Linked DNA regions of Rattus norvegicus. The protein of the gene in region 2 purifies or fractionates together with the protein of the main gene of each other region. This does not show direct contact. Links are inferred from orthologs where the notes say so. Each region holds a gene or a part of one and is shown on either strand. Other genes may lie near its edges. The genes, in order: Nsf, Napg, Stx7 and Stx12.

What was found.
Region 1: the proteins of Napg (region 2) and Nsf purify together in Homo sapiens (affinity purification with mass spectrometry; 3 studies listed by BioGRID and IntAct, with this or other methods). This does not show direct contact. The link is inferred for Rattus norvegicus from reciprocal best matches to the Homo sapiens genes NAPG and NSF.
Region 3: the proteins of Napg (region 2) and Stx7 purify together in Homo sapiens (affinity purification with mass spectrometry; 3 studies listed by BioGRID and IntAct, counting the BioPlex papers as one, with this or other methods). This does not show direct contact. The link is inferred for Rattus norvegicus from reciprocal best matches to the Homo sapiens genes NAPG and STX7.
Region 4: the proteins of Napg (region 2) and Stx12 purify together in Homo sapiens (affinity purification with mass spectrometry; 3 studies listed by BioGRID and IntAct, counting the BioPlex papers as one, with this or other methods). This does not show direct contact. The link is inferred for Rattus norvegicus from reciprocal best matches to the Homo sapiens genes NAPG and STX12.

The regions. Positions count from the first base shown.
Region 1 is NC_086028.1:89,271,979-89,279,301, forward strand, and holds part of Nsf (vesicle-fusing ATPase), read right to left. Parts: intron 3,960-7,323; coding exon 3,794-3,959; intron 3,321-3,793; coding exon 3,246-3,320; intron 2,978-3,245; coding exon 2,790-2,977; intron 1-2,789.
Region 2 is NC_086036.1:58,707,911-58,715,762, reverse strand, and holds the start of Napg (gamma-soluble NSF attachment protein), read right to left. Parts: upstream 5,062-7,852; 5' UTR 4,955-5,061; coding exon 4,899-4,954; intron 2,463-4,898; coding exon 2,395-2,462; intron 333-2,394; coding exon 248-332; exon of another isoform or gene 225-247; intron 1-224. UniProt on the Homo sapiens protein: Required for vesicular transport between the endoplasmic reticulum and the Golgi apparatus.
Region 3 is NC_086019.1:23,051,776-23,059,709, reverse strand, and holds the start of Stx7 (syntaxin-7), read left to right. Parts: upstream 1-3,244; 5' UTR 3,245-3,275; exon of another isoform or gene 3,276-3,281; intron 3,282-3,537; exon of another isoform or gene 3,538-3,583; intron 3,584-7,934. UniProt on the Homo sapiens protein: May be involved in protein trafficking from the plasma membrane to the early endosome (EE) as well as in homotypic fusion of endocytic organelles. Mediates the endocytic trafficking from early endosomes to late endosomes and lysosomes.
Region 4 is NC_086023.1:150,350,173-150,357,495, forward strand, and holds part of Stx12 (syntaxin-12), read right to left. Parts: intron 6,284-7,323; coding exon 6,146-6,283; intron 5,591-6,145; coding exon 5,547-5,590; intron 4,371-5,546; coding exon 4,265-4,370; intron 2,750-4,264; coding exon 2,677-2,749; intron 1,502-2,676; coding exon 1,419-1,501; coding exon of another isoform or gene 1,275-1,418; exon of another isoform or gene 1-1,274. UniProt on the Homo sapiens protein: SNARE promoting fusion of transport vesicles with target membranes. Together with SNARE STX6, promotes movement of vesicles from endosomes to the cell membrane, and may therefore function in the endocytic recycling pathway.

The DNA.
Region 1 (7,323 bases), on a different chromosome or scaffold from region 2:
GAAGGAAAATGGAAAAAAAAGAAAATCAAACAGGTCCTTCATAGATGAATGGACTCATCTTACCCAGGGTCCAACACTAACTATATTCTCTTCTTATCTTTACTGTTTAGAAAACCTTTGGGGAAAATGGGCTAAAAGAGTTATAGCAGCTATGTAGGGAAATTCGGAACATGGCGAGTTTGATTAGGGATCCACCTCTTGGGCTGATGGCTCCGGTAAAGGTGCATGACGTGAGGCCTGGGGACTATAAGACTCCTTGAGCCCACACGAAGGTGGAAGAAAACCAATTTCTGCAAGGTTGCCCTTTGACCTCACACAAGTGCCCTGACGCGTGTGTACACTCCAAACCTCTCCCTCTCTCACTCGCACAGTGGTAAATGAACAACTTTAACTTAGCCAGAAGAACTAGTGGTTGGCTGGGTCTGATCAAGTATAGTCTAGAACCAATGACAGGAAGCCCCCAAATAATGAAGACATGCTCAACCCCAGGCTGTTACTTCCTGCCTGATCTGTCAGAAACGTCCCCCTTGTCTTGTCCCGTGTCACCAACCCCACACTCACTTAGCACAGCTGCCAGAGAGATCTTCTGTTTAACACTATGTCACTACTATTCTCAAAACTCCCCGAGGGTTTAACACCTCTCACAGGAAAGAGTGCACTTCTCCGCAGAGAATAAAAAGCTCTGCGCTCACCCTCAGCTTTGGTCTCCTGGCTTTCCCCAACACTGCCTCTCTAGCACCGCACCTCTAATGTCCACAGTGAAGCAATGTGAAGTTACTCTAGCCCACCTCTGTCTGTGTCCCTGTGCCTCTGATGATGTCCCTTTTACACGCTGAGAGCTACTCACAACCTCTGGAAGATGCCTCTGTCTGTCTCTGCTTCTCAATTGCTGGGATTAAAGTTATGTGCCACCACTGCTTGGTGTTTTTATATTGTTTCAGAATTTATTATTTGTTAGTGTGTGTGTGATGGGGAGGGCGGCATGTGTGACAGTGCATATGGATTTTGTGGAGTTGGTTTTCACCTTCTGCCTTCACATGGGTCTGGTGATCAACTCAGGTCATAAGGCTTGCACACTATGTACTGCAGGATGTCATACAGGTGAAGGCAGCTACAAGACAGAACGAGGCCTGTCACTGAATGAGGAGGAAGAATGGTTGGGAGAAAAGTTTTAGAGAGGAAGAGACTGGAAGAGGAGAAGTCTCAGAGAGAACATGGAGGTTGATGTTAAGATTCCTCTCTGCACATTTACAGGTTGTTATGAATGTTCTTAAGGGATGCATGTGTACAGGGCTTTGTATGTTTAGGTGGGCAATTATATCTTATCAATTGGATCAGGGGTTATTGTGTTCTGTTTTTTTATGTGGTGATTTAAGTTTAAGAGAGTATGTGGTGGCCAGAGACACTAGGCCTCCACGGAATTGGGATGTGTGTTTCTGGCATGGTGGCAACCTGCCTTGGGAACTAGATGGGTAGAGAGACTGCTGCCAGGCTCAGAGAGAAGCCATCAGCAGTGTGATATGGGCTGGAGCAGAGCGGGTGAGATGCTTTGCTGACTAAAATGAAGATATCTACCAGATATCTTGGGGCACTGCAGTGCTGGACCTAGTGCGGGGTAAAAGACAACAATTTTTATAATTTCACAGCAACAATGTACCTTTATCCACAGTGAGCACCACACTGGCCTGATAAGCTTTCTGGAGTCAAAGTCAGCCAGAGGTTTCCCACACGCTGTGTGACTACTTCAGGAAGGAAGACAGCACAGTGTTATGAAAGGGAGAATCAGGAAAGGTTTAAGCAAAGGATAGTTAGTGCACAGGAGGTAGGTGGCAGCCATGACAGTAGAAAAGCACTGCTCTGGGACCTGACATAGGACACAGAGGTATGCGGCAGAGATGACTCTGAAATCTTAACATGAGAGGCTGGCATAAAAGAAAAAGGAGCAAGAGAGGAGGTGGTTTGTTGGATCTTAAATTTGGGTTCTGAGAAAACACCCAAGTAGAATTACTATATATGAGTCAGAAAGTTAGAAGACTGGCACTGTCAGGGATGAGATGGAAGTCTGCAGCTACAGAATTATAGGGACAAGTGCAGCATGAGAAGCACCTGCACCAAACTTCACCGATCCAAATCAAAGGCCTCTCGAAAGTATTCTTACCATAATACATATTATATGATTGTACTAAGCCAAGCATGATGGCTCCAGCTACACAGGAATCTGAGGCAGGAGCATTACCAGCTCAAAGCTTACCTGCAATACATAGCAAGTTCAAGGCCTGTTGTGCAAATTAGTAAGCCCAATATAAAAAATAGTCAAAATGGATAGGTCTGTAGCCCAGTGGTAGAGTACTTGCAAAACATGCATTAAGGCTGTGAGTTTAGTCCTCAGTGGCACAAAGACAGATAAACAAGAAAATCAGAGCCCCATCCCCCCAACACTTTGTACTAGTCCATTTTCCTGACTCTGAATCCCTTGAGGGAAAAGGTCGATTCATCTTCATGTCTAGCCCAAAACTAGTAGCAGCTATCCAGTATTTGCTGCATGATGAGAAAGACTCAGCTTCTTGTAAGTTAAGGCCATGCAAAAGTCAAAAACAACAATCTTCAAAACCACACCTGCCAGGCGGTAGCGACCAAAGGCAAGTAAGCTGGTGGTCACCCTGAGGAGACATTCCCCCTCCTCACCATCAAAAGCCAGCTTACTCTCCCTGGCATATGTGGTAAAGAACGGGGGGCATGGCCCACACAGGCCATGTGTTCTTGTCTGTCTGTCCATTGAGTTTCCTGACCTTTATGTGTCTGTTCATGGCTGTGGACTGCGCTGCTCGCACCAGGCCCTCCAGCTCGGCGCCACTGAAATTCTTAGTCTCCACAGCCAGTTCCTTGATGTCCACATCCGCAGACAGTAGCTGGTGCCCTCGCATCCTTGCTGTGTGGATGTGAAGGATCTGCAGTCGGCCCTTCTCATCTGGTAAGCCTGGTGAGACAGAAGCAGACATTTCCCTAGTCTTTGGAGTCCTTTGGAGGTCACAGTCCCAGAGCTTTCCTTCGAGGTGGTCCAGCTGTAGACAGCTGGCAGTGAACATTACTGAATATGAGGTTGCTCTCATCAATAAAGCCACATGCGAAAACACGTGTGCATGGACACATAGGCACATAAGCACCGGTGCAAGCACACACGAAAATGTACACACAAGTCTGTACGCACATGCACATGTATGCAATCTGAGACCTAGTTTACTTACCTATCTCCATCTTAACTTCCAGTCTTCCAGGTCGAAGGAGAGCCTCATCAATCAAATCTGGTCGATTGGTCATTCCTGAATGCAGATATTAAGAGCGGTGAGCAAATAAATGATCAGAGTTCAAAAGTGAGATTAAAACATACTTCCACTCTCTGCAAAACACAGCGACCTCATTAAGGACTTATTACAAAAGTCAAACACAAAGCAGCAGCACTGAACTAAGAACGGCATGTGTATTTTACCTAGTAGGAAACAAGGAACGAGTTTGCAGTGAAATCTCTATTTAAAAAGCAAACTTAAGCAGCAAATACATGGCTGAAAGAGAGCGGAAGGGTCTTCCCAGCTCCCGGCCTCCCCTCTTCTGTATGTAGCAATTTTGATGTCCACAAGAAGCGGTAACGGTAACGTTTTCCTTTTTAAAAAGCATCCTAATGCAGCAGCTCAGAATGTGCAACGGTAAAAACATTGTGGGAGAAAGCAGCTTGGCCCCGAGGCCCAGCTGCAGGCAAGCCTGCATCGTCGAGGTGCATCCTTTACTTCAGACATACCAATAACGAGGATGTTGTTCAGCTGCTCGACGCCATCGATCTTGGACAGCAGCTGGTTGACCACAGTGTCGTGCACCCCGGTGCTGCCGGCCATGCTCCCTCTCTGCTTGCAGATGGCGTCGATTTCATCAAAGATGATGATGTGCAGGCCGCTGTTGGCACCGAGCTAGGAGGCAAGGAGATCCGGTTAGAAATCACAACCTGGACACATCAATAAACAAACTAACCGAGAAATGCAGAACGAAGCACTCGACAGGTTGGCTTTGCTGCATTTTGATTAATAAATGTAGATGAGTGGAAATCAAATCGTGGATGTTGCCCTCTCAAAGATATCAGAATTGCAGGACAGCTAATAATTCAGTAAGTTCACACGGGCTTCTTAGCAATTTATATTTAGTAATTATGCTTCCCATGAGGGAGCAGAGGGAATGAGCTAGAGAACCTGAGACCATAACCACATGGTTACTATGGGGTGCAGTAACATTGCAATGTGTGCCCATAGCATGTGACAATCAGATAAGGTAACTGACGCGTCAAACATGCAACAGTTCTTCACTTGGGGGATGATCAAAGTCCTCTCTACTGTCGTGAAATATAGACTTAATTGATGTCGATCATGATTCTTTTACTTTCTATGTTTAACACAAAGACGAAACAAGGAATAATAAAACAGAAGAGATTGAACATAACCTAATTAGGAAAATATGTAAATAATACAAATTAAGTGATGAACATGGCGAACCTAAGGATTAGGTTAGAATTCACTAATCTCTGAGTGTGTGTGTGTGTGTGTGTGTGTGTGTGTGTGTGCATGTGAGGTGTGAATGTGTGTGTGTGTGAGTGTGTGTGTGTGTGTGCACGTTGTTTGAGACAGCTTTTCTATGTAGCCTTGGCTGGCCTGAAACAGACCTGAACACTGGGATAAAAGATGTGTGTGGGGTTGGGGATTTAGCTCAGTGGTAGAGTGCTTGCCTAGCAAACGCAAGGCCCTGGGTTCGGTCCCCAGCTCCGAAAAAAGAAAAGAAAAAAAAAAAAAAAAGATGTGTGCAAGCACACCTGACCTATAACAATATGATCTTTCAAAGAGGTGAAATGGGCCACTGAATTGGCTCAGCGGGTAAAGCCACTTGCCACCAAGCCCAATGACCTGAGTTCAATACCCAGGACTCACAGAGTATAAGAACTGATTCCCACAGATTTCCCTTTAACTTCCACACACACACACACACACGTCATAGTCCACACATATCCACAGTCATTCAGATACTTTTACACACACAAATACACACGTGCATACATACGCAACTTTAAAAGGGAGGTTTAGGGATATAAATAGATCAAGCCTGGGGACCTGAGTTAGATCCCTGGAATCTATGATAGAAGGTGGCTCCCAAAAAGATCAGTCCCCCGATCTCCACACACATACATGCACACAAACCCAAATAGTAAATTAAATTAAGGGATGTAGTCTTACCAAAGGTAAATGCTATTAATATGACAATATTTCTATTTTAATTTTACAGTTATTTATGGTGTGTGTATGTACATATGTCTGAGAGCCAGGGTTCACATGTGGAGGTCAGAGGACAACTTGTGGGCGTTGGGTCTCTCCTTTCACCAAGTGAGTCCTGGGAACTTGAAGACCCACTGCACAGGAAGAGCCCTGCTCACAGCTTGACCAACTCAGCTGCCGCCCTGACCCAGATCCAGCTTCAAGTCAGTCCACACCAACAGCTTCTCTATCTACGAGCCGAGCTGCTGGAGCATGTGGAGGAGCCAGTGCTGCGGAACCGGATCGGGGAGCACGTTCTCACCACCGAGGATGAAAGCCTGAAGGGGGGCTGTGATGGGACTGGAGTCCCTCTGGAGAGCCTGAGAGACCCACGGAGGCTCTGAGGGCAGACCAGGCAGCAGGGGAGGTGGACTCATGAAACTGGGAGGAAAAATGGTGGAGCAGAGCCCCGTGTGCAGGGGAGGACAGCTAAACCATAGACTCAGTGACAAAGGGTATGGAAGCGACATGGGCAGCTGTGGCACCACTGAAGTCCGTGGGGACACCCGTGGTTTGTGCTGCCCTCTGAAGCCATAGGATGTCTGTGACTCATGCCGCCATCACAGGCTATGTAAGTATCTGTGGTCGGTGTTGCTGCTGGAGCCCATGTGGATGTCTGTGGCCTGTGCCTCTGCCAAGAGCCATGATGGTGTCCATAGACCGTACTGCAGCCAAGGGCAATGTTGACGTCCATGGTTCACACTACCGTTGAAAGCTGTGGGAATGACCGTGGTCTGCGTGGTCATCTGTATCCCTGTTCACGTCCGTGGTCTGTGCCCCTGCTAGGGGCCATGTTGATGCCCATGGTTTGTGTCATCACTGAAGGCCATGTTTCTACGTGTGGCCTGTGCTGCTACACGAGGCCATGTTGATGGCCTTGCTCCTGCTGCTGCTACTGCTGGGTGATGTGTTGATGCCCATGGACCATGTTACCACCAAAGGCCATTGGGATTTCTGTGGTCTGTGCTGTAGCCAGAAACCATGTGGAAGTCTATGATCCTTGCTGCTGCTGACTATAAAGGGTAAGAAAGCTTCTTTTCATTGGTGTCAATGACTGCAGCCTCACAGGTGAGAATGAGAGGCATAGAAGGCTTCTGTGACAACCTCTTTTCCTTCTCCTCCTCTGTAGGTTGATGTCAATATGCAGGTGTGGGCTGGCACCAGTTAGGTCAAGGTCATGATTAGACAGTAAAAAAATAAGGCAGGGACAAGGTTTTTGTGGGAGAGAAGGAAGGAGAATCGAGATGGAAACTGAGAATGACCCAGACCTACGTGGTCCTGAATTGCCAAGGTAGCTCAGACGGATTTCTGTGGGAAAATTTATCTTATCTAGGTGGGTGGTTTACATCCTTATCAATTGGTTGTAAGTTTATTGTGCGGATGTATTATGGATTGAGAATTTAACATATAATCTGACTGCTGGGTTATAGTTTGTTGAGCCTTGGTTTTAAGGGGTTGTTGGGAGTTTACATAACTATTAGGGGCGGAAGTTGGGAATGTAAACAGCAGTGACAGACAGAGAGTGACAAGAGCGTAGCCACCACTGGCACCAGGGGGGAATGTGGACAGCAGTGACAGAGAGTTACAAGAGCGTAGCCACCACTGGCACCAGGGGGATTGTGGACAGAGTCCACTGTAAGAGATAGGATAGTCTCTGTATGAAACTAGTGTGGCAGTGACCTGCCTGGGTCAGAAAGTACTTCCGGGGCAGTGTGGAGCTGCTGAATTAATTAGCACTAGTTCCAACGGCCTGCTGGAGCCGGAACTACGCACAGGAACCAGTTCCATCCTCTTTTTATTTTTACCACAACACACCACCACCTCTCCTCCCGAAAAAGAAACAGCCTAGACAGGAAGTCATGGAAGAGAACTCTGGAAAACTGTCATAAGGATGTTGAAATGTATGCAGCTCTTTACAGTAGGTGGCTTCTGGTGGAAGGGAGGACCTGGGAGGACTGGGAAGTGAATGTGACTGGGG
Region 2 (7,852 bases):
CCCCCTCGCTTCATCTCAAGTCAAATCCCTGCCCACCCAGAAGCAGGAAAGTGATGGGCAAGCATGGCTGTCCACACCAAATGCACTCAGGACCACTCACTGAATTCCCCTGGGGCTTTAAAGCACATGCACTGTTCAACCTTTCCCAACGGAAAAGCACTTTACATCAGACACTAAACTTATAGCAGGAGAAAGGTGTTCTCAACATCTTCTAGTTGTCCCACTTCTTTGTAAAGCTAAAAGATACGCCCTGTTACTTTCATGGGCGACAGCTTCCCGTAGGCAGGCGTCTTTTGCTTGCTCAAATTGTTTGGCATTTTTAAAAGCAACAGCTGAAACAGAAAAAGAAAAAAATAGACTTTCTATTTTCATCATTAACAGCCCTAAAGGGAATCAGTACCCAAATCAGCATTTTGTGAGACATTACAAAATACATGGATTTCAGATAGGGAGCTTCATAATGGCGTGAAATATTACTTTTACCTAAAGCAAGTTAGTCTTTCTGAGCATACTTTTAAAAGCCTGTGGAAGTTTTAGTTGATTTTTAGCAGCACATTGGCACAGCTTCCATCGAACACCAAGAGCCCCTCCCTCTAGCACCCACTGCCAAACAGCAGAGCAGGGGTCTGTAGTCACCCGAGGGTGCCTCATTCTCCAGCTTCCTCCTGGGCAGCTAACCGAAACTAGTCATGTACTAAATCTTCCCTCCAGGTAAGTCATTTTTGATACACAAAGCTTTTCTATTTAGTTATCTATACTCCTCAAAGAGCTAACCCTCACTGCAGGCTGTTTCACAAGGAAGGCTCACAGGGGTGAGACAACCAGGATGGCCCTGAAAGACAATGTTAACACTGGGAAAATCTACCAACGGTGGGTTATGAGAAAGTAGGACGCATACTAATTTAAGGAAACTGTTGTCTTCTGTTTGTTTGTCATTCTGAGACAGGGTCTCCACCGTACCTGCAGCCCTCACTGGCTGGGAACTCAACTACGCAGCACAGACTGACCTCTGACCTCTGACTTGAGCAGATGCTCCGGCCTCAGTCTCCCTTCTACATAAAGTGTTCTCATCTACTACTTCTTAAAACCACTCTCGAAGAACTCTTAAAGTGTAGAAAACAAACAGAATACTACAATATTCCTGCTCCTGCCTGTCTAGTTGTCTTTAAAAGTTCCATCGAAGGGCTATATTCTGCCTCCACTCAAGGAGAACAAACGAAGGGCACTTTAACAGGACACGTGATTCAGGAGATTGATTCATGGAAGCAGCATATGGCCCTGGAGCCACAAAGCAAAGCTGTTAAATTTCCTTCACTTGAGAAATGTGCCTTTGGTCTTAAGCAACTGTGTATAAAGTATAACCCAAAGTCCACCTAAAGCTCAATTTTAAGCAAATTTATCTTTAAATACAAAACATAAGCAATTTGCATAATGTAAGCAACAAGTTTACTCAGTATTTAAATGCAGGGCTAAAGACTCTGGTTTCCCTTTTGAATGAGAAAAAACCCTCTGTGTGTATGATGATGGTAGCTTCTAGGTTATTTCTTTGGAGACAAACTGAAACTAAAATTTAGTGAAAAGTGCTTGCTCTAGGTGATCTCTCATGAACATAGTCACAGATGAAAATTTGCTTGAGGACTTTCAAATCCATGGTGGTTTAAATTTTTATTGTGCATGCACAGGGAGGTCAGACACAAGCTGTAGAGGTCAGATCCCTCCGTCTACCGTGAAGATCCAGGGCATCAAACTCAGGGGCTCGGCTTGATGGTCGGCCTGGCAACTGGCAGCAAGTTCCTTCACTTAAGCTACCTCGCCAGCCTCAAAATTATGTTTTATTACTTTATATCCAAAACGACAGCAGACATTCAGAGCTATCGCATCATCCCTTAACAAAATACTAAACTTTTAACAAATTCCCTATGTTGCGTATTTTAAGATATTTTATACTTATAGAAAGTGAATTTACTAAAATGTGCATACAGCTTAAAACTCTTCATGAACATTTGATAGTGTATCTCAAAATGAAACTCATAAATGTTAATGTGGAAAAAAGAGATTGGTAGAACTTCAACAAGACTAGTTTTAAAAATTAAAAATAAAATTGCTTGATCAACAGCAGAAAGTCTAAGACAGAACTAAGCAACATTTATGAACACCTATGACACCGGACAGCTGACACTACCCCATGTCTGCTGTTAGGAGCGTGCACCGGGATCTGGCTCAGCTCTAGCTGAGGGTAAGTGTGGGAACATGCAAAGCAGCCTGTGCAGCTGTCCTCGTCTGCTTTTCTGTTTAAAGAGTGAAGTTTACCGGGAGGCATTGGAACTGCTAGCTAGACAACGTTGTCAGATCCAGTCAACACACACAACGGCACAGGGCTCCAGGCACAAATACCTGCTTTTCCATACTCAGAGGCAGCGCTGTCGTAATCTGGCTTCCACTTCAAAAAACCAGTTTTCAGGCTAGAATGAGAAAGAAAGACATTTCTTATTTAAAAAGACAGCATCAGCTACAGATCCCTCACCTTCTCAATTGTCTTCGGATGTATTCCCAATAAATGCACCCTCACTTCTTCCTCCCTCCCCTCCCCATTAACAATGTCCCTTCTTCTGAAATGTCTACATACCATCCAAACAGAACGTTTAAGTGCACGGTGCCCAGATCAGAACATCAACAACTGCTTAGAAATTTGCTAGAAATGTACGATGAGCCCTCCCCAGATCTACAGAACCAGACTCTTGGGTCTTAACAAGCCACATAAGGTGTGCTTTAACAAGCTAGAGGATCTGGAGGGACATCTTCCTTTGCGGCTGAGACGCTATCAGGGAGAATACAACTAAAGAGCCATTGGTGTCTGTGATGCCAAGGTCACAGGCAGCATCTCCTGAGGAGACTACAGGGACTACCGGAACAACACTCAGAGGGAAAATAAAGGGTGTGGTCAACCACCACTGAACAGGAGGGAGAAAGAGAAGTCATGTGTTAGGACAACAAACAGAAACAGTCTTCCAGAACTGATGCTGGCTTAGAAGCCAGAGCAAAAGATACCCAATGATGTTTATCTTTCTTGCCTTGTCTGCAATATTTTACTTTTATTTTAAAATAAAATCAAACTCACAGTTCAAGCTAATTCAGTAGGTATTAAATTTGGCTATGCATAAAAATTGCTCAACACCATCTTATAAATTTCAGCTCAATTACTGAAAGTCTGCTTACTTTCAACACTGCTAACTTCATTTGCATCAGTGGCTACTAAGCTGAGAGATGGGGCCCTTAGAAGTGCACCCTTCATTCTGTGAGTCTAACTCTGAAGTTACTTATCCCTGTAAAATGTATTCTACAGTTTTCATTTAACATATGCATATATAGTAACAAGATTTAAATGTATATGCAGATTTTCAATTACATATAATGTCTAATCTACAAAATTGAGAAAAATATGCAGCAAAATAAAGTCCTGTGCCCCTTCACCAAAGAACCCATTATACCCTTTATTGTGATTATGGATGTCTCCCCAAAACAAGACATAACATTCAATGAGCTAGATTTTTAAAACTGCAGATCAACTCCAGGCAGCTGAGCACCATTAATTAGCAAAAATGAAGGCCCGATTAACATTAGGTTGATGGCTAATCTGTTGTGGACCTTGACTGGTTTCATCCTAAGTAAGAAAACTTTCCTAAGCCAGAATACAGTGATAATGAGTGATACCACCATAAGAAAACAGAGACCAATTCCACTGCCTCTCCTACACTTCTGATCCATTCGTCCTACCACCTGCTGGCTCTCCTACCTACAGCAACTTCAAGCACCCTTCAGACCCCATTGCAGCCACAAGCAAGCCCACTCATCTATAATCCTGTCTTAACAGAAGGCCTCTCTTACAGGTCTTCTCCCAACAGAGATGCCTAGGGGTCTAGTTCTCAACTCCACATACAACTGCCTAGAGGACTTGTCAAAGCCATTACGAAAGGATGCTAATCCTGGCTCCTAAGGTTTCCTTAGCTCCGATGGTCAAAATCCTCCTGAAGTTCACAAAATGCAACTTCATTATAGCTAAGAGCACATGTTCTGTTCTTTTATGTTTGTTTTTACCATGCATGTTCTTGGGATCACCCTCTGCACTGACAGCCACCTTCCTAGTCACTGCCTGGAGGCAAGGTGGTATACCAGAAAGGGCTTGTGAATTTCCACTGCCTAAAACTTGCCCTGCTCTTTTCAGCTGAGCAGCCTTGGACAGGTCTCCAGGAAATTTCAGACCGCCTCGGTTCCTCTTTTGTAAACTGAGGCCTTTCTATTAGTTAAGATCTTAGTTTATGATTCACCTAACAGTGTACTAAGAAATGTCTTACAGTCGATAATCGTTAAATATGTATGTTGTAATTCACGAAAGTGGGCGAGAGGACTAAGGAGAACTCGCAGTTTCCAGTACGTATGCCTACTGAGCCCGGAACCAAAAGGTGGCGAACACCCACAAGACTAAGGAAGCTTAGACCTTGCCCCCAGTGAATAGGATGTCTGACAGTGAGAGTTTTTCAGAATTAGTCTACACCCCCGCACTGCACCAGGGTCTCTTTCCTAGCAGTAGCTCTCCACCGCAAGATTTCCTCCATAGTGTCATTCTGGATGTTATAAGATGAGACAAGGTGTCCACGCCAAAGCCCGCAACGAGCAGAGCAGCCGCAAACCCTGAGGACCTGGCGCCGGGCAGACGTGGCTGTCACAGGGGCGTCTGCAGCAAATGACGCGGCGCAGGCTGGCACGATCGACTGCAGGGGATTGACCCAAAAGGCAAGGCACCGCCCCGAGCACGGACAGCAACATGACCCTCCCTCCCGACCAGCCCGAGCGCACGGCTGAGGGGCGCGATTCACCAGCCCGGCGGCGACTCGACGTACTACTTCTCTGCCTTGGCTAGATGCTCCAGCCCCTCGTTTATCTTCTGGGCTGCCATTGCCTCGGCCGCTTGCTGACGCGAAGAGTGAAACAGCCTAGAGCTCAGCAAAACACCTAGAGCGTCGGCGTGGGAACGCCGCGGAGGAAGCCGGGAAAGGGGCCTACGGAAAGCGAAGAGCTCAAATTTCTTATGGCAAAGCTGGCCCGGAAATGGGTGGGACGAAGGGACGAGGAGGGCGGGGCCAGGCCTCGCGCAAGCGCAGTGATGCGGAGCTAACCTGGAGGTGCTCAAGCTGGTGTTGTCGGTTAATTACAGGGGTGCGTTCTTTCGAGCGTTGGTTACTGCACCCTACAAATATTTAAGGAGCAATTAATAGAAGTCGAGTACTGGTCTTTACTAGTCCTGGAAAACAAGAAAGCGTTCTTCTCAGGAGCCCTGTGTCTTCACGCTGCGAAAATGCTGTCGAACCTTTGCCTATTTGTCCTTGCAATTTATTAGTTTCTCTTTACTACATCTATGATAGTACTTGCGCATCATTCATCTTTTATGATTTCCTTCTTCTGTTTTATATTCCAAGTGCTGGTACACTACCCATTACAGCTTTTATAACTGATTCTAGTTATGTATCAGTCAGTCATAAAAACAGACTGTAATCCTTGGTTACTGTCAAATAATAAGTCTAGCATTTCAAACCGACGGGGAGGGGACCTTGCAATAGTCTAGCAGAGGTGATTTGGCGGCTCTGCTGATACTTAGTGGGAGTCTTGGGATTACATATTGATTTCTGCCACGCCTATGCGGCCTCTCAGTTTTTCATCTGTAATGATCTTTTCTTACACCCACCTTAGATACTGAGAGTCTGAAAAGTGTCTCTTGAAGGGCCACACACTGTAGATTTGATGCCCAACATCTAGCGTGTTTTGTAAAACGGTGGCATAGTGGAATAATTGTGGCGGGAGTGAGCATCTTGGTGGGCGCAGACTAAGCAATCAGTCACACTATATGACAAACCTAGTATAAAGAAAAGATTATTGGGCTTGGTAACAGAGCTAGAAGTGGTAGAGCCAGAAAAGGGCGGAAGGTGAGGGGACCAGGGACAGAGAAGGACAGAGAGAGAGAGAAGAAAGGAGGAAAAGACCTGCTGGGATCACGGGGTGGGGGGGGGGTATTGAGGGGGTGTGTGTGGAGAGAGGGGGGAGGAGAGGTAGGGCGAGGGGGAAGGGGGAAGCAGACTAGAAGATGGAGAGAGAGCTAGGGATACCAGCAATCCTCTTTTACACATGGTGGCAGGTAATGAGGTAAGCTGTTGCTAGGTTGCTGTTGCTAGGTTCCTAGGAGGCGCCTAGTGGAATTGTCTATAAACCAACACCTATTAGAGCTGATAGAACCCTTAGATAGTGAGGCCTGGTGGAAGGAAAATAAGTAAGTCCTCGCAGGCTGTTTCTATCCTTGAAGGGTATGTAGGGACCCCAGCCCCTCTTCCATCTTCCCCTTCTTGGCCGACATGGGATGAGCCACTTTGCTCCAACCATGTTGTACTGCCTTGCTTCCTAAGCTGAGAAGCAAAGGGGAGAAGTCACCATGGACTGAAACCATGAAGAAAACATACTTCCCCACATAAACAAATGATCTGGAATGTTTCCAACAGTAACAGGAGGCCAATGAGCACAGCCACCCCATTTCCAGGAAAGTATCCTTGACTTCAGTTACAAATACTAGTGTGTTCTCTGTGGTGCCGATTTTAGGAGCCCTCTTTCCTAGTTTCTGGCTTCTTATCTCGATCTAGTATCTCTTGGCCTTTGACAGATTCTTCTTATTGGCCAATCCGCTGCCCCTTCTCACACTTACTATTCTGTCCTCGATAAGTCCTGTGCTCTGTCATCATAAACTCATTCTTTGCAGACTTTCCCTCCATCTTTCCTTCTACTCTGAAAAAAAAACTCACCTCATGTAGAACTGCCCTTGACCCACATCCTAGCTCCCTGGAAGCCAGTCTTCTGTTTGCCTTTGGAACAATATGTAGAACTCTCAGCTCCTCCTGCACCATGCCTGCCTAGACATTGCCATGCTCCTGCTTTCACGATAATGGACTGAACCAGTAAGCCAGTCCCAATTAAGTGTTGTCCTTACAAGAGTTGCCTTGGTCATGGTGTCTGCTCCTAGCAGTAAAACCCTAACTAAGACAGGCTCTCTCTAGAAAAAACAGTGGGAACCATACTTTCTCTCACTTTCATTCCAGGCTAGGAACTGAATGAGCTCCCACCATGGTCTCCTGCCACAGTTTACTGCCATAGGCCCAAAGGAAAGGAGGCTACTTGGCTGCAGACTTAACCCACACAAAGCTGTGAAAGAAATCCAGGCTCTTTGAGAGTCTGAACATCTTGTTAGACATAGAAAGCTGGCTGACACGTTCTGTTAGGCCATACCTCTCAGATCCTGATGCTCCTCCTTTTGCCCTCTTTTTATCACAGAGTGTTTATTTTTATTATTTCATGTATATGGGTGTTTTGCCTACATGTATGTTTGTCCGTGATGTACATGTAGTGCCTATGGAGCCCAGAACTGTGAGCTGCCTTTGGAGTCTCCGGATGAACAGCCAATGCTCTTAACCACCAAGCCATCTCCCCAGCCCCTGTGCACACTTTTAAGTTATTACTTATTTCTCCTTCACTCTGCCCAAAATATTAGTCTTGTTTTCCTGGGACACAATTGTTAAGCAAGGTACGGCTTGCTTGCCCTCGTGGAGTCCGTGACCTATGATGGGCACAATATTCACCTACCTATATTTCAGCATCAGTAAATAAGGATTGGAAAAGAGAATGACAGCCACACCAACCTTTGTGCTATTTGTTCGAAAAGATAACCCCTTGGTTAGGGAAACTTTATTAAATACATAATAACTTCCATTCACATTGAAAAGCAAGAGGCGGCCGTGAGGACACTAATACCCGCCAC
Region 3 (7,934 bases), on a different chromosome or scaffold from region 2:
AATGTCATATGTTTTATATTAAGTATAAAAATAGTCATAGTGAAATACATTCAGAAACGTTGGATCAAATAAAGGCAGGCTCATTTCTTTACTGAGCCATTAAATAGATGCTAAGTAATAAAATGTAGTACCACAATTTTCAGGAATTCCTTTGGGATCCATTTGCTCTCTGAGCCTCTAAGCTTAGCAGAGTATTATACTTAATTTTTCTCTTTGAAGTAAAATGACTAGGAAAGAATCCAATTATTATGGTTTAAAAAAATGGCAACTTGGGGCAAGCTCAAAATTTGGAATTCCCAGCTTTTGTCCCTGTATAGCCAGTGACTAGTAGGGCAACTCAGAGGTCTTTGAGTCTCAGTGTCCTCTCTATGGACCTGTATTGTATCCTTCCTTCTACCCAGTCCAGGATTCTAGCAAAAGTAATAGGGAAGGGCGGATGGAAAGCATGTTAGATATCAGTTCCATTTCACAAATCCTCTCTTTGGCTCTCCATACCCAGTTGTTGTACAAGTCTTCTTGAATATTTGTCACCTTAACCTCACCTCTTCTCTGTCTTATTTACTTTAGTGCAGCCCTTCAACATCTCCAGTCTTGATGAAGTTCTTTAGCGAGGTCCGCTACTGTTGCATGGTGGGCGTGGTATTGTTACATGGTGGGCGTGGTATTGTTACATTATGGGCGTGGTATTGTTACATTATGGGCGTGGTATTGTTACATTTTTGGCATGCTACTGTTACATTTTAAGCATACTATTGTTACATTATAAGCATACTATTGTTACATGATTGCCTTTCTTCTCTGTAGTATTTCCCTTTAATTTTCCTTACTTCTCCCAGACTTTCCTTTGTGGCAGGAAGTGAACAGCACTTCTTACCTTTCATCAAAATCTTGTAGTAGCTCAACCCCCACCACTCACTTAACGTGAGACAGGAGCAATTTGCTTTAAGGATCTCGTTTGCATTCCTAGCATCTTGACTTTTTAAAAAATATGTATTTATTATATATAAGTACACTGTATCTGTCTTCAGACACTCCAGAACATCAGATCTCATTATAGATGGTCTTCAGCCACCATGTGGTTGCTGGGATTTGAACTCGGGTCCTCTGGAAGTCAATGCTCTTAACCACTGAGCCATCTCTCCAGCCCTTGTCTTTTGAGTCCATGCACGATGCTTCATCCGAATAAAGTAAACATTTACACGTATTATACACACTAAAGTCAACATGCCCACTCCTTCCTTGGCAGAAAGGTCCCTTTCCATGTTGTCTTCCAATAAAACTTTATATAACTTTCCAAAATTTTTGTTCCTGTTTTCACTTCAAAATTTATTGCTGGCACTACAGTAAGGCACTCATCTTTTGCGTTAGCGCCGTGCTCTGTATAAATCTCATCACAGTGTGTGCTCTCCCGGAAAGAGCACCACTGCCAGCTAGGAAACCACCGGACTCTACTCAACCATGAAGTCTGTACTACAAGGCCTAATAGTCGCTGCATTACAGACTCTTAGCAGTTAGCAGCTGTCTGGATTCGGTGGCACGAAGGACTTCAGAGTTTTGGGCAGGACACTCAAGCCTTTGCTATTCTTTTTTTTTTTTTTTCTTTTTTTTCTTTTTTTTCGGAGCTGGGGACAGAACCCAGGGCCTTGCGCTTGCTAGGCAAGCGCTCTACCACTGAGCTAAATCCCCAACCCAGCCTTTGCTATTCTTAATTATGTATGGGGCCTGGAAGTGTTTTGTGTTTCAGGTTCCTGAATCTGTATTATGAGGAAACAACTAGACTTTCTAAAAAGACTCTGTAGCTTTAACAGCTAACATGACTTTTTATTGCAGAGGTTTTTGCCTTGTGATTTTTAAAAATATAACAAGTTTGACAAAAGGATTGATTTCAAAGAAAAACCTGAATTTCCTCTGTATCTTAGGAAACATATAATGTCACTATGATGGGCTAATATTTCTATAAGTTCACAGTGGAGACGACAGGTAGAACTCAGGGGTGGATCAACTACCTGAAATGTGAGGCCTTGGGTTTGATCCCTAGTACCTCCAAACAGAACCACAAACAACCTGGGACAGGCCTGTACTCTGAACGATGAGGAAAGAGGGTTGCAAGTTCAAGGCCTACCTGGGCTACACAGTGAGTTCAAGGTTAGTCTGGGCAACCTATAGAGACTTTGTTTCAAAACCAAAAACCTCTGGTGATACAGGACACAGGGAAGGCATGGGCTTCTCATGGTCAATGACCTTGGTTCAGTTTCCAGTGCCGGAAAAAAGCAGCAAAACCCTACAGTTCACAATGGCTCTAGCTGTATCACATCACACTTTAAATGGACGCACATCCTTTGACCAGTGTGCTTAGTCCACTGTGGATCCTACTTGGAAGATGCGGTGTTTGAGTCAGACTTAAATCACCGATGTATGCTTGCATGTGTAAAACCAACCAACGTACAGTTTGCTCTGCGGTTCTGACTCACAATAGTCTGGAACTACCACCACTACCACCCCACCCCCACCCCCTACCCCCACCCCCAGCCTCCACCTGAATTCGACTGCACTTTTGGTATCATGCGTTTTCATATTCTTTCCAGAAATAACACTGTCTTAATTACAGGCAAAGGCCAAGGCAAGATCGTCTAATTAATTTGGAAAAGTATTTCTTTTACCTGAACCACTGATGTTTCTCATCTGAGAGTCACATGTTTAAAGAGTTATTGTTGGAACAGTCTGTGCTCTTAAAGCCTGGGAAAACCGCATCCTGTATTTCAAGGACGAAAGACCCATCATGAGCCAAGAAACACCCTTACCAAGTGGGCATCGGGAGGTGAGTCTTCATTTATTCTTTGCGTGGGCTTAGCTAGGATTGCCTTGACATTTTTGCAGTGACATTTTAAAATGGAGTTGTCAAGTCTGCCACAGAGCTGAGGGTTAGGAAACAGGACCTTCAGGAGCTGAGGGTGCACCCTCAATCCAGGAAGGATGGCGCCACCGAATAAAGAACGCAGCTCTCCTCTATTGGATTTCTTCCTCTTTTCTTGCATGTAGACATCACTTTGTCACCCATCAAAGCTTGGTTCCCTAGGAATTTTGCCAGTCCCTCCAAGCTTCAGCTGTCACTGGCCAATGGGAGAGACGCGAGCCCCGCCTCCTTCTTCCTGGGGCTTTGGCCCTGCGCATGCGCATTGGGAGTGCTTGCGCCACCGCCCATTCGCTGAGACTGGCTGCGCAGGGCCGTGGGCCCTCGGTGACAGCAGCTGGAGGTGACAGAGGAAGCCAACGAGGTCAGGGTAAGAGGAGACTGCAGAGGCGGGGGCGCGGAAGGGACACTCCAGAACCACTGCTCGCCGGTGGTTGGTTTGGGGTGCGCAGAGCGGGGCTCCCTAGGGCGCAGGGCCAGCGCCTTCCTCTCGGGCTCCCACGCCCCGAGGCGGACTCGGGAACGAGCACCCAAGCGCGCGGCAATGGAGCCTCGGGGACCTGACCTGCCGCCAGATCCTGGCAGGCAACAACCGTGTTTTCATTTTCTGTCAACTTCCCCTCCAGAAAGACAGAAAGGGAAACGCGATGGGCCCTGGTCATCCGGCCACAGGTTCGTTCTGTGGCCCAGAGCATTTGCTTGCTTGGCTGTTGGCCCTACTCACACAAGCTAACTTTCTCTGACCTACCTTGTGCACGTCTTTAATTGATTTACCCACCAAGACCCTTAACAAAGTATTTTGAGAATTCCCATATGTGTTTTGTAGGTTAAATTCAGACAAAAGAGAGAGGGGGAGAGGGAGAGGGAGGGGGAGGAGAAAAGAAGAAAGAATGAGAGAGAAAAAATGTTGGGAGAGGATGCTTTATAGTCAAATGGTAATTTTTTCCTTATAGTTTTTAAAAATTATGCTTGAATTTTATATGCATATATTATTTTTGGTTGCTTTAGATCTCGTATTCTGTTAGGAATTATTATTTACAAGTTTTCCACAATCAGGAAAAAAAAGGAAGTAACTGTGGAACACTGGTTTGGTCCGGTTGAAGGTAGGCATTCCTTTAGGTGTACCTGAGCTGTGCTGTGCAGAGATTGATAAAACTGTTAAATTGTATCGAGGTGGGGATGGGCCTTCGGATTTGCAAGCTGCTTTGGAAGTTGGCCCTGGGCTTGTGACTTGCTAAGAATAAGGCTGTAGTTTCCCAGCGTCTGGGGAAGTTAATATAACACAGTATTAACTCATTGACCTCTGGGTGCTTTCCCTTCAGCGAGCTCACTTTTTATGCTGCTCCCGATTAGCAGTCATTTCTAATTCTGATTAGGATCCCAAATGCATCCATATGGTGCTGGTGGAAAATTTTGAATAATGTTGAACTATATGCCACTAAATGGTGTGTGCACAAAACCCTGGTTCAGTCCCCAGTACTGCAAGGTAATATTTCTGCAGTGTCTGATAGTCCTACTAGGTAAAACTCCCACCCTTTAGTCTGAGTGAATTTTGCTCTGGTTCAGTGTAACTCGAAATATTAATGTGTGAAACTGGAGAAAAAGAATGCTTGGTGAATTAACTGAAAGCAGACAGTGTAGCACAATGGTTGGATCCATGAAGGAGCTGGGTGAAGACGCACTTGAGTAGTTCGTGGATGAATCCTCATCTGAGAGTTGGAGCACCCTCGTGTTCATTGATTGGGTCCTATGACTCCTCTCCTGCTTGTGTCAGGACTTGAGAACAAAGTGTGAGTGGTCCAACCTCCTGAGGATGATGCATGGCTCGAAGTAGAAGTTACACTGACAGAGCCGTAGTGGAGACTGCTCATTTCAGATCCGGCGTCTCTGGTGTGTGATAACACCTTGCAGGGAGAAAGAACTAGGTGGGCGGGTGTCATGGGAAGGGTCATCTAGAGACAGAAAAGGGACACCAGAAAAGCCCAGGTGGCAATAAACCTGAAACAGTGTTTTAGAAATGTTAATATTTACTCTCAGGCTGGGCATGTGTTCTTGGGATATGGGTACACTTGTTGATTCACACTTCAGACACTTATTCAAGACCAAGTACTAGGGACTAGACTTTGTCCAAGATTTATACTCCCCGTACAGCACTCACCACACACACACACACAAATACAAACCCAGGGGAGTAAAGGGGGAGGAAGCTCATAGTTTTATGCTGGTACTCATGATTTAAAAAGCGAAACTGGCCATTCGATTTCAACAGGCTACATTTCAGGCCAGTTCTCTGCTCAGCGGAAGCCTTTAAGAGTCTACGATGGTATGTCCAGGAGTAACTCCGGGGTAGTGTTTTACATTCAAGAATCTATAACGAAATCCCCTTCGCTTGTTTTTAGATTGTACTTTCGACACGATCTTGAGACAGCCCTTACCGTGGGTGTTACAGTTTGGCCCCCGCCTCTCCTCTTTCACCTCAGTGTTTGTATATCTTCATAAAAAGATAATTACTGAGAAGTTGAGTTGAACGCTGGCCAATTGAGCTTTCTGCGGGGAGAGAAGTGAATATGTGAGCTGTTCCAGCCACTGGCTACTGGCCCCATCTAGTTTCCAAGCACTTGAAAGGTAGCCTGGGTGGCTTTCATCTACCTTAATTCACTTTAACAGTGCCTGTCAGTAGCAGCTGGTCTGCAGGAAGTGCAGGTGCGCGGTGAAGAGCTACATAATTATTTTGAGCGAAAGGAATTCCAAATAGGTTTTCAACACAGAATAATTTTGGGCATTGCAGCTCAGGCTACGTCCTGCAGATGGTTATAGAGCACAGGCACTTTACAAACACAGAATCAATCAGCTCACTTGGAAAAATAGACCTCAGAGTCATCTATCGATAATTATTCATGAATTTATATGTTTATTTTTTTTTCCAGCAAAGTTAGCCATTGTCCCACTTAACTTGTCTTACATCTAAAGAGCCAACTTGTCTCTTTTAAAATGTCACCATAGCCGAACAGGACAGAAAGGGAGAGTACTGCTCAGTGGTGTTACCACCGTCCAAGTTTGTTTCCTTGTTGTAAAGAAACTACCCCCGGGCCGCAGAAACGTGTCAAGCGTGGTCGTGTAGTTGACCTGGTCCACCTGTGCTAAGTTGTTCTACAGAAAGCACTAGGGTTTAGTCTAGCGTTTGCGACAATATGAGCTCCCAGATTTACTGTGAGAGTTTAAGTCTTTTGCTCATCTCAGCGATGCCTCTGTTTCTTTGTAAAAAAAAAAAAAAAAAAACCAAACCAAAACAAAAACTACAAGAGTAGTTATGCCTACTACAGAGGCTTTCGAGATTGAGAGAAACAATCATAAAAGGCACCATGTGCAGGAAATAATTCAGCCCTTTCTCCGATTCCTGATCCCTCATCACTCAAGACAGGACCGTGGTGGTCATCTCCTTACCCTTTCTCTGGTCAGTTACGCACAGATGAGGAGGGGAAGCCCTTAGAGTGAGTGAAGCCCACTTTTCTCACCACCAGCCACGTTCTCCAGTTTGCTTGACTACAGGGAATAGAACAGCAGGTTGTGATTGTGACTGTCTGACTTAAATTATGGAAAGGAAAAAAATCCCTTTAAAAGAAAACACTGACAAAGTTTGCACTGTATGCGTGTGAATTTTGCGAGGTAAGAGAAAGCTGGAAGGCTTTGCAGGAATGAACCGGATCCTGACATTAGTCTCTCTGTGTGTGGGGAGTGTAGGTTTCAGGGGAGTTTGTGGCCATATGCCTCTGATGAGAGCCCCATAGGTGCAGGAGCACATCAGACCTGTCCTCTGTGTATAGGAGAAAAGCACTTGCTCCCATTATCTTATTTTGATCCTGGCAGGAGGCCCAGATGCTAAGTATCTCGCCCAAGGTAGAGCTTTTCTGGTTGCCACTTATCCTAGCAACTGAACAAGCAGGTGATGAGTGCTAGTAACTTCAAAGAATGGGGGGCAGAGGGGGGAGAGAGAGAGAGAGAGAGAGAGAGAGAGAGAGAGAGAGAGAGAGAGAGACTGAGACTGAATATTAAAGGTGCCTTCTGTAGGTAGGGATGTGAGACTTATTTGTACCCATGGTTACAGGAAGGAGTTATTCACAGGGTGTCTATGTTGACTGTAAACCAAGGGTCTTTTTGGAAGCTTGACTGACTGACAGAAAGATGCCCCTGAGCTGACAGAAATTGTCTTTATCCATTAAGAACAATATTATATGTCAATAAAAGGCATTGAGGTACTCACACAGCTCCTACAAGGATCTTGAAAATACATGGAGAAGAAACAAGTCAGTCACAGAGAAAACACACACACACACACACACACACACACACACACACACACACATATCATGATCCCACTCATGTGAAACATCCAAAATAGAAAACCATTCAGGTGGATTAATGGTTCCAATGGCTGAAAGGTTGGGGACAAACAAAAGATGAAAAATGATGGGAAGGAACTTTCTTCTCGGAGTAATATGCATTATAAAAGTCACACCATTGTCACAGACCTTTGTTAACACATTAAAGACCATCGAATCATATGACTTGAATGGCTGCAGTTGTATGGTATATGAATTGTATTTTAAAAATATCTTTATTACGATATAATTCACAGGATGGGGCTAGCAAGAAGGCTCAGCAGGTAAGGGTCCTTGTTGCTCAGCCTGATGACCTGAGGTTATCTCCAGGACGCACATGGTGGGAGGGGAGAACCAGCTCTTAAAGTTGTTCTTTGATCTTGACACACTCACAGTAGCATGTGTACACACACACACACTGAATGCTCAAATATTTAAAGATACAGTTGGTTCGTAGTCTGCATACAGTGTCGTCAGGGTAATTGGCTCTCCAGGCCTCAGCTGATCTTGAACTCGAGGTCCTTGTGCTTTAGTGACTCCCGTGCTGGGGTTGCAGGTATAGAACACCACACCTAGATTTTTCCTGGGAGGGAGTTTATTCCTGCTACACTGTCATTGGGGGCCCAGCTTTAGTTAACTCTTTG
Region 4 (7,323 bases), on a different chromosome or scaffold from region 2:
ATTACAAGCAGCTGCCACAACCAAGTTGGATTCCAGGGCTAGTGCTTGCTCTAACCACTGAGCCTTCTCCCGAGGCCCTTGGGTGTGTATTTTAATAACCTACTTCACACCTATCACAGATTGTATGCTCATTATAAAATATATGAGCAGTAGAAAGAAAATAATCACCTATAGATATGACTGTTAGCATAAGATTCTATTTCTTTCTGCTGTCTTGTTTGTTTGTTTGTTTGTTGAGATAAGGTCTCGCTGTGTAGTCATGGCTGGCCTGGAGTACTCTCTCTCTAGTCCAGGTGAGCTTAATCCAGAGTGATCACTATCTTGGCCTCCTGAATGCTGGGTTCAAGACCCATGCCTGCAGGCCAGGCTCCGCCTACTCTCTCACCTGGGCGCATTCCTGTTGGGAATGACTGGATCATACTGTGTGTTCGTCTTGTTAGCGCTTAACACGAGCTCTCCTTTCCTGCCATAAGCTCATTAACATCTTTTAGTCCCCACAGACTACAATGCTGGGAAGATATAATCTTCTAAAATCATCAGTTTTTCAAGAACACCGTTATGAAACTCAACTTCCTCAAGCGTATTCCCAGGTAAAATACAGCTACCCTGGGAATACAGAAAATGACTAAAATGCTAGCTACTTCTAAAAAGCCATGCAACATCAAATGAGGACATCATTTTTAGTATCTAAAACCTGGATTATAGACTGGAAGAAGAGTAGGGTCTTATGCCACACGCCTTTAATCCCAGCACATAGGAGGCAGAGGCAGGAGAATCTGTGAGTTCCAAGCCAGCCTGCTCTACAAAGTGTGAAGTCCAAGCCGGCCAGGACTACACAGTGAGGCCCTGTCTCAAAAAAACAGAACAAAAAAGACTCATAAAAGCCATAAAACTATAAAAATCACCTCCTGGGCACAGCTTCATGATGATTAAAGCCTACACTGAGCTGTGTGCACAGCTGGCTCTAAGGCACCCTGCTGAGCTAGCAGTCCACGTGGTGTCTCCTGTCTCTGTAGCTCGGCCTTTACTGCAGCTCTCCTGACAGCCCCTCCATTTATTTAGGATACAAAGTTTTCTTTTTTTTTTTCGGAGCTGGGGACCGAACCCAGGGCCTTGCGCTTGCTAGGCAAGCACTCTACCACTGAGCCAAATCCCCAACAGGATACAAAGTTTTACGCATCACGCTGGCTCCTGACATTAGCTTTACAGCCACACAGCTTCTGTATAGAATTCAGGATTTGATGGTGTTGGATATCTGGTTGCAAAGATAAATACTAAAAATGGGACTGGAGCTGCAAATTATGACTGCCGGTCTCCAGCTTAAACTCAGGCAAAAGACTGCAGCTGCAGCACTGTGTGAGCACAGCCTGGAGGGTCACTGAGTCTGAGCACAGAGTGACTCTGACATTGGCATTTACCTGATAGTAAGCAGCTCTCTGTAGCTGATCAGAGGCTCTTTCCACATGCACCTCTGAGCTTTCCACATTGGCTTCTATGCTATCTGTAAAAGATGCAATGAGATTTCAGCAATTCAGGTATTTCAATACTGAGACAAACAAGCACATTTTCTTCCTTTTTATTTAAAGCCTATGGGTGTTGTGCCTGCATGTATGTCTGTATACCATGTACATGCCTGGAAGGTGTTGGATCCCTTCAACTTGAGGTACAAATGGTTGTGAGCTGGCGTGTAGGTGCTGAGAATCAAAGTCTTCTGGAGGAGCAGCCGCTGTTCTTAGCTGCTGTGCCATTATCCAGCCCCTCTGAGCAGATCTGATGGCTCAGGCCTTAGAGTCACCATTACCATCCAGACTAGCCAGCATGAGAACGAAAATTTACTTCTTTTCATTTTATTTTTTTAAAGATTTATTTATTTATGTTATGAGTACACTGTAGCCATCTTCAGACACACCATAAGAGGGCTTCAGATCCCACTACAGATGGTTGTGAGCCACCATGTGGTTGCTGGGATTTGAACTCAGGACCTCTGGAAGAGCAGTCAGTGCTCTTAACCACTGAGCCATCTCTCCAGCTCGCATTTAATTTTTTTCGATAGCGTCTCATGTAGTCTAAGACAGCCTCAACGTCCTCAACAGCATGCCATGTGGCTGAGGCTGGCCTGAATTCCTGACCTCATGTCTCTACAGGAGTACGGAGGTTACAGGCCTCATTACCATTCCCAGCTACACGTTTCTAACATGATAAAGAACAGCACTATTCCTCAGAAATAAATACTGACATTTAATAGCAAGGAGTTACTAATTATGTAATTCACCTATATAGGGTTCAAGAAAAAAAAAGACCAGGGGTGGGGGGGTCGTCCAGGTCACATGCTTGTGTATCTACACATACAGATAGAATACATCGCAAAGTAAATGGGGCAAAAATGTTATTAACTAGGAAAATTCTGCGCAGGGATATATAAAAGATTCCTTGTACTTTTTTTTTTTATTTTGCAGCTCAAAGCTGGGGTGCCGACAGCTCTTGCTCTAACAGACTTGCAGGCTCTAAAAGTGAGCAGGGCTTAACACAAAGCACCCTCTTTAGCCTCAACAGTTGACTGCATAAGAAAGTGAATTCAGATATTAAAACAAAGATATTTCTAAAGTAAGTTCATAACGACCCATCTTGCTGAGCTCTTTGTACTCACCCTAAGGCTAGATGGATTATAGTACGTACCAATCAGATCACCTTGGTCGTGGATCATCATAGCTAAGTCTTTAAAGATCTGATTGACATCCAAAATGTCAGCCTAAGGGAGATTTAGAAAAAAAAAATTAGCTCACATTAAGCAACATGTTAGAAATTTCTTTCCTTCCCTTCCCTAAAGATTAACAATCACCTGTCTTTAAAGTTTCTCCATGAATAGGAAACTATCTACTGCTGCTTACCTAACACTGTAGAACAAAAGTCAGGAGACCCACTCATTGAGCTGTGTTAACTGCTCATGTTTCCTGGGAACGGGTCAAGTCATTTTAGCCTGAGCCGTACCCAACGGAAGCTGGAGTCCTGTGGTGGACATGTGCTCAGTAGGGCAGCTCTAGGAAGAGCAAATATCAGTGACGACTACGACTTATGACTAGAGAATTTAAATGGCTTCTATAGGACTGTGCTGCCTGGGGAACACAATGGAAGACAAACAAACTGTCAAGGAGATGGCTTCCCAGGACAGACTCGGTCTGTGTGAGGAACTACCGGGTCTGTGTCACTTGGATGACAGCCTGTAAACAGCTTCCAGCTGACAAATAGCTCCGAGGCTGGGGAACAATTGGGAGAGTGAAAGGACATCCGTTGTGCAGGAAAAAGTTCCGAACTTCCCAGCGTGGTGGGCTCAGCCGCACAGTATTATCTCCAGGAGTAATGGAGGGAAGATTCTCCATGTTCAGGTTTTTACTTTCCTAGGTAATAAGCCAAGGCCTGACACAAGTCAAGTGGAAGAACAGTGCTCTGGCACCTGTTAAAGGTGTGCTCAGATGGTGTGGTCTGAATAAGTATTGCCCCAGGAGGTGTGGTCTGAGTAAGTATTGCCCCAGGAGGTGTGGTCTGAGTAAGTATTCCCCCAGGAGGTGTGGTCTGAGTAAGTATTGCCCCAGGAGGTGTGGTCTGAATAAGTATTGCCCAGAGGTGGGCCATGCAGGAAGGATAGGGAGGTGGGCACTTGTTAGAGGAGGTTCCGAAAGCCCAAGCCAGGCCGGGTTTCTCTCTCTGCCTCATGCCATGCCTGCCTGTCTAAACTGTAAGCAGCCCCCAGTAATCGCTCCCTTTAGGAGGCTGGAGAGTGGCTCGGCACCTAGGAGCCCTCGCTGATCTTGCAGAGGACCCCGGTTCAGTTGCCAGCGTACACATGGCAGCCTACAGCCACCCAGAACTCCAGTTCCAAGGAACCTGACCCCTTCGTCTGATCCCCAGGAGCACTCATAAACTTAAAAATACAAAACAAACTAAATTTTAAAAATTTTAAAGTTCAGGGGTTGGGGATTTAGCTCAGTGGTAGAGCGCTTGCCTAGCAAGCGCAAGGCCCTGGGTTTGGTCCCCAGCTCCGAAAAAAAGAAAAAAGAAAAAGAAAAAAAAAAAAAAGAATCTGGGCGCTTTTGAGTGCCCAGGCCAACGAGACTGAGCAGTAGTTGAATTTTGCCAAAACTAAATTGATAGATAATGTAAAACACACAAAGACTCAATCCAACCCTTTCCATATTAGTCTGGGGGAAAAAAATCCCCTAATACCTGCAGACACCTGAGCCAAACCAACGCCATAGCCTGCTCTCACCTCCAGCTGCTGAATCGCCGTTTCCCTCTCTTTAATAAGTTCCAGGTCTTGCTCAGTGATGGCCGCCTCTTCCTCCTGGCTCTGCATCTGGTTCCACTCCTCATGGCTACGGGGAGACAAGCACTCGGTTGATTCCTTCTCTCTACCGTGAGGAGACATAGCTACATTTCTGCTAACAGCAGAGCCTAGGTAAATGCTGCTCAGGACCCAACTCTTCTGCTACCAATACCATCCCTGTGGGCCTGGTCTTTTCCACTTAGGGTTTTCTTTTCCTTCTTCTTTGCAGTCTTGCTAGACAAGGAAAGTATCCAGAGGTTTAACGTGATGAATTAACTGCACAGACCCAGCTCTGCAGGAAACTCTCCAAGTGTAAGCAGGGCTGGTGCCAGGGGCACTAAATGGAGGAAAATACTCTAAGCCACCACACAGCTTTCACGGACTCATCTGTCAGAGCCACATCTGGCGCACAGGAATCCCTTGGGGCTGTGATTTGGGATCGACTCCACTTAAGAGAAAAGCAAACTAAAAGCTAATGGAACGTGTGCAACTTGATTTCTTTTCAGGTAATGCTGTGCACCATGTGGAAGCCTGGTGCCTACAAAGGCCAGAGAGAGCTTTGGACCCCTTGACTGGAGTTTTAGATGGTTGTGAGTGCACTTAGAAGGAAAATGTACTATTTACTGAACTAATGTGAGCCACCGTATGAGTACTGGGAACTGAACCCGCTGCTCTGCAGAAGCAGCCAGTATTCTCAACCACTGAGTCATCTGCATGCTTTACCGTGCCTGGCTCAACTCCTCCTCTTACTTACTTATGCTCTTTTTCTTTTTTCTTTTCTCAAGATAGGTTCTCACTGTGGCTCTCGCTGTCCTAGAACTCACTATGTAAACCACGCCAGCCTTGAATTCACAGAGATCCACTTGCCTCTGCTTATCAAGTGCTGGGATTAAAGGAATATGCCACTACGACCAGCCCTGATTTTTTTTTTTTTCATTTTTAAGTAAAATTGTCACAGAGAGACTGGAGAGATGGATCAACAGACAGCACTGGTTGCTCTTACAAAGGACCAGGTTTGATTCCTAGCACCTACATGGTAGCTCACAACTCTCTGGAACTCCAGTTTCAAGGGATCCAAAGGTCTCTTCTGGCCCTTGTGGGCACCAGGCATACACACGGTATACAGACTTACACGCAAGCAAAACCTCCATACAGAAAAACCTCCATGGACACAAAGGTATGGATTCACAGTGACTATCCAGCAGACTGCAAGAGTGACTTTTACCTGTCAAATGAGACGAGCTGCTCTTCTCTTTGCCTGTCTTCTGCCTAGAAAACAGACGGTTATCGGGCTGTTATCCAAAAAACATGAGAGATGCACAAAACAAGAGCTGCCTTAGCTTCAGTACTAAGGAGTGACAACCCTCCACTCTGATGGCATCTGTAAGATGGATAACACTCTGTCGATCTGTCTTGAGTAAGAAACAAGTATAAAATAGGAGAAAGTGGGGCTGGAGAGATGGCTCAGCGGTTAAGAGTGCTGACTGCTCTTCCAGAGGTCCTGAGTTCAAATCCCAGCAACCACATGGTGGCTCACAACCATCTGTAATGGGATCTGATGCCCTCTTCTGGCTTGCAAGTGTACATGCAGGCAGAACTCCATACACAATAAATAAATAAATCTTTTAAAAACAATGAAAAAACAAAGGTAGGAAGTAAATCTGCCTTTCAGTTGGACCGAGAACATAAAGCATGTTATCTGGTGGAGAAAGGGGACGTGTTGGGTGCACCCTCTGGGCTGGTAAAAGCCTCTCTGGTGGAGAAAGGGGACGTGTTGGGTGCACCCTCTGGGCTGGTAAAAGCCTCTCTGGGGAGTCAACTTACAGAAAGACGGGATCCAGCCCTCGCTCTCGCGATGCTTTCTTTCTCCTTCTCAGATACCTTTCTCTGCACAACCTGGAAATTGTTCAAGGCCGACGAGAAGTCATTCATGAGCCGCTCCTTCTGAAGCTTCTGTTGGCGCTGAAGACAGTAAGCAAGAAGTTTAAATCTCAAGAGAACTCAGATTCATTTGGTTTAATATTGATTAAAAGCACAATTATATACTTAAGAGATTTCGAGGTACAAAAGTCATTACAAAACGGGCTTTTCCTTAAATCCTAAGTTGTTCCTTCCTGAGTCAAATCCCCAGTTAACCCACGTAAGAACATACAGGTGAGCGTGGGAACCAGGTGACGTTTACACGACACTGAAATGGAAGTGCAATTTGGAATATCTGGGCCCTGGAGAATCTAAATGCATAGTGGAGGCCTTTGAGCTCAGAGCGTCTAGTTTTTTTGGGGGGGGAAAATATTAAAACTACTTTTCTATACTAAGTTATTAGTTTTCCTGAAGATTACCATTATTTTCCTTTATAGTTTTTTTTTGAATTTTAAAAAATTTCAAGAACTTAAAAAAAAACTTATAACTTATAGTTACCTTCACAACACTACTTATTTAACTACTTAACTATAAACCGAGAACCCGCTCTGGGCTACGCATCTGACTTAAATACTGTATTCTTCTTCTCCTCCTGCTCTTCCTCTCCATTCTCCTCCTCAGTCTCTTCTTTTTTAATGGTTTTTCAAGACAGGGTTTCTCTGTGCAGTCCTGGCTGGCCTCCAAAAGTCATAGAAATCCACCTACCTATGCCTCCCAAATGCTGGGATTAAAGCCATGTGCCTCCACTGCCCAGCCAACAAATACTATATTTTTTAAATAGCTTATTTTCCTACATCATAAAGCTGGAAAATATCAGAACTTAACAAAGGGGCGGAGCTGGAGAGATGGCTCAGTGGTTAAGAGCACCGACTGCTCTTCCAGAGGTCCTGAGTTCAATTCCCAGCAACCACATGGTGGCTCACAACCATCTGTAATGGGATCTGATGCCCTCTTCTGGTGTGACTGAAGACAGCTACAGTGCACTTACATACATAAAATAAATAAATCTTTAAAAAAAAAAAATAAAAAGAAGGTAGTTTGGTTGGATCCAAAGGTATATTGGTAAGAGAACTAAAACAGAA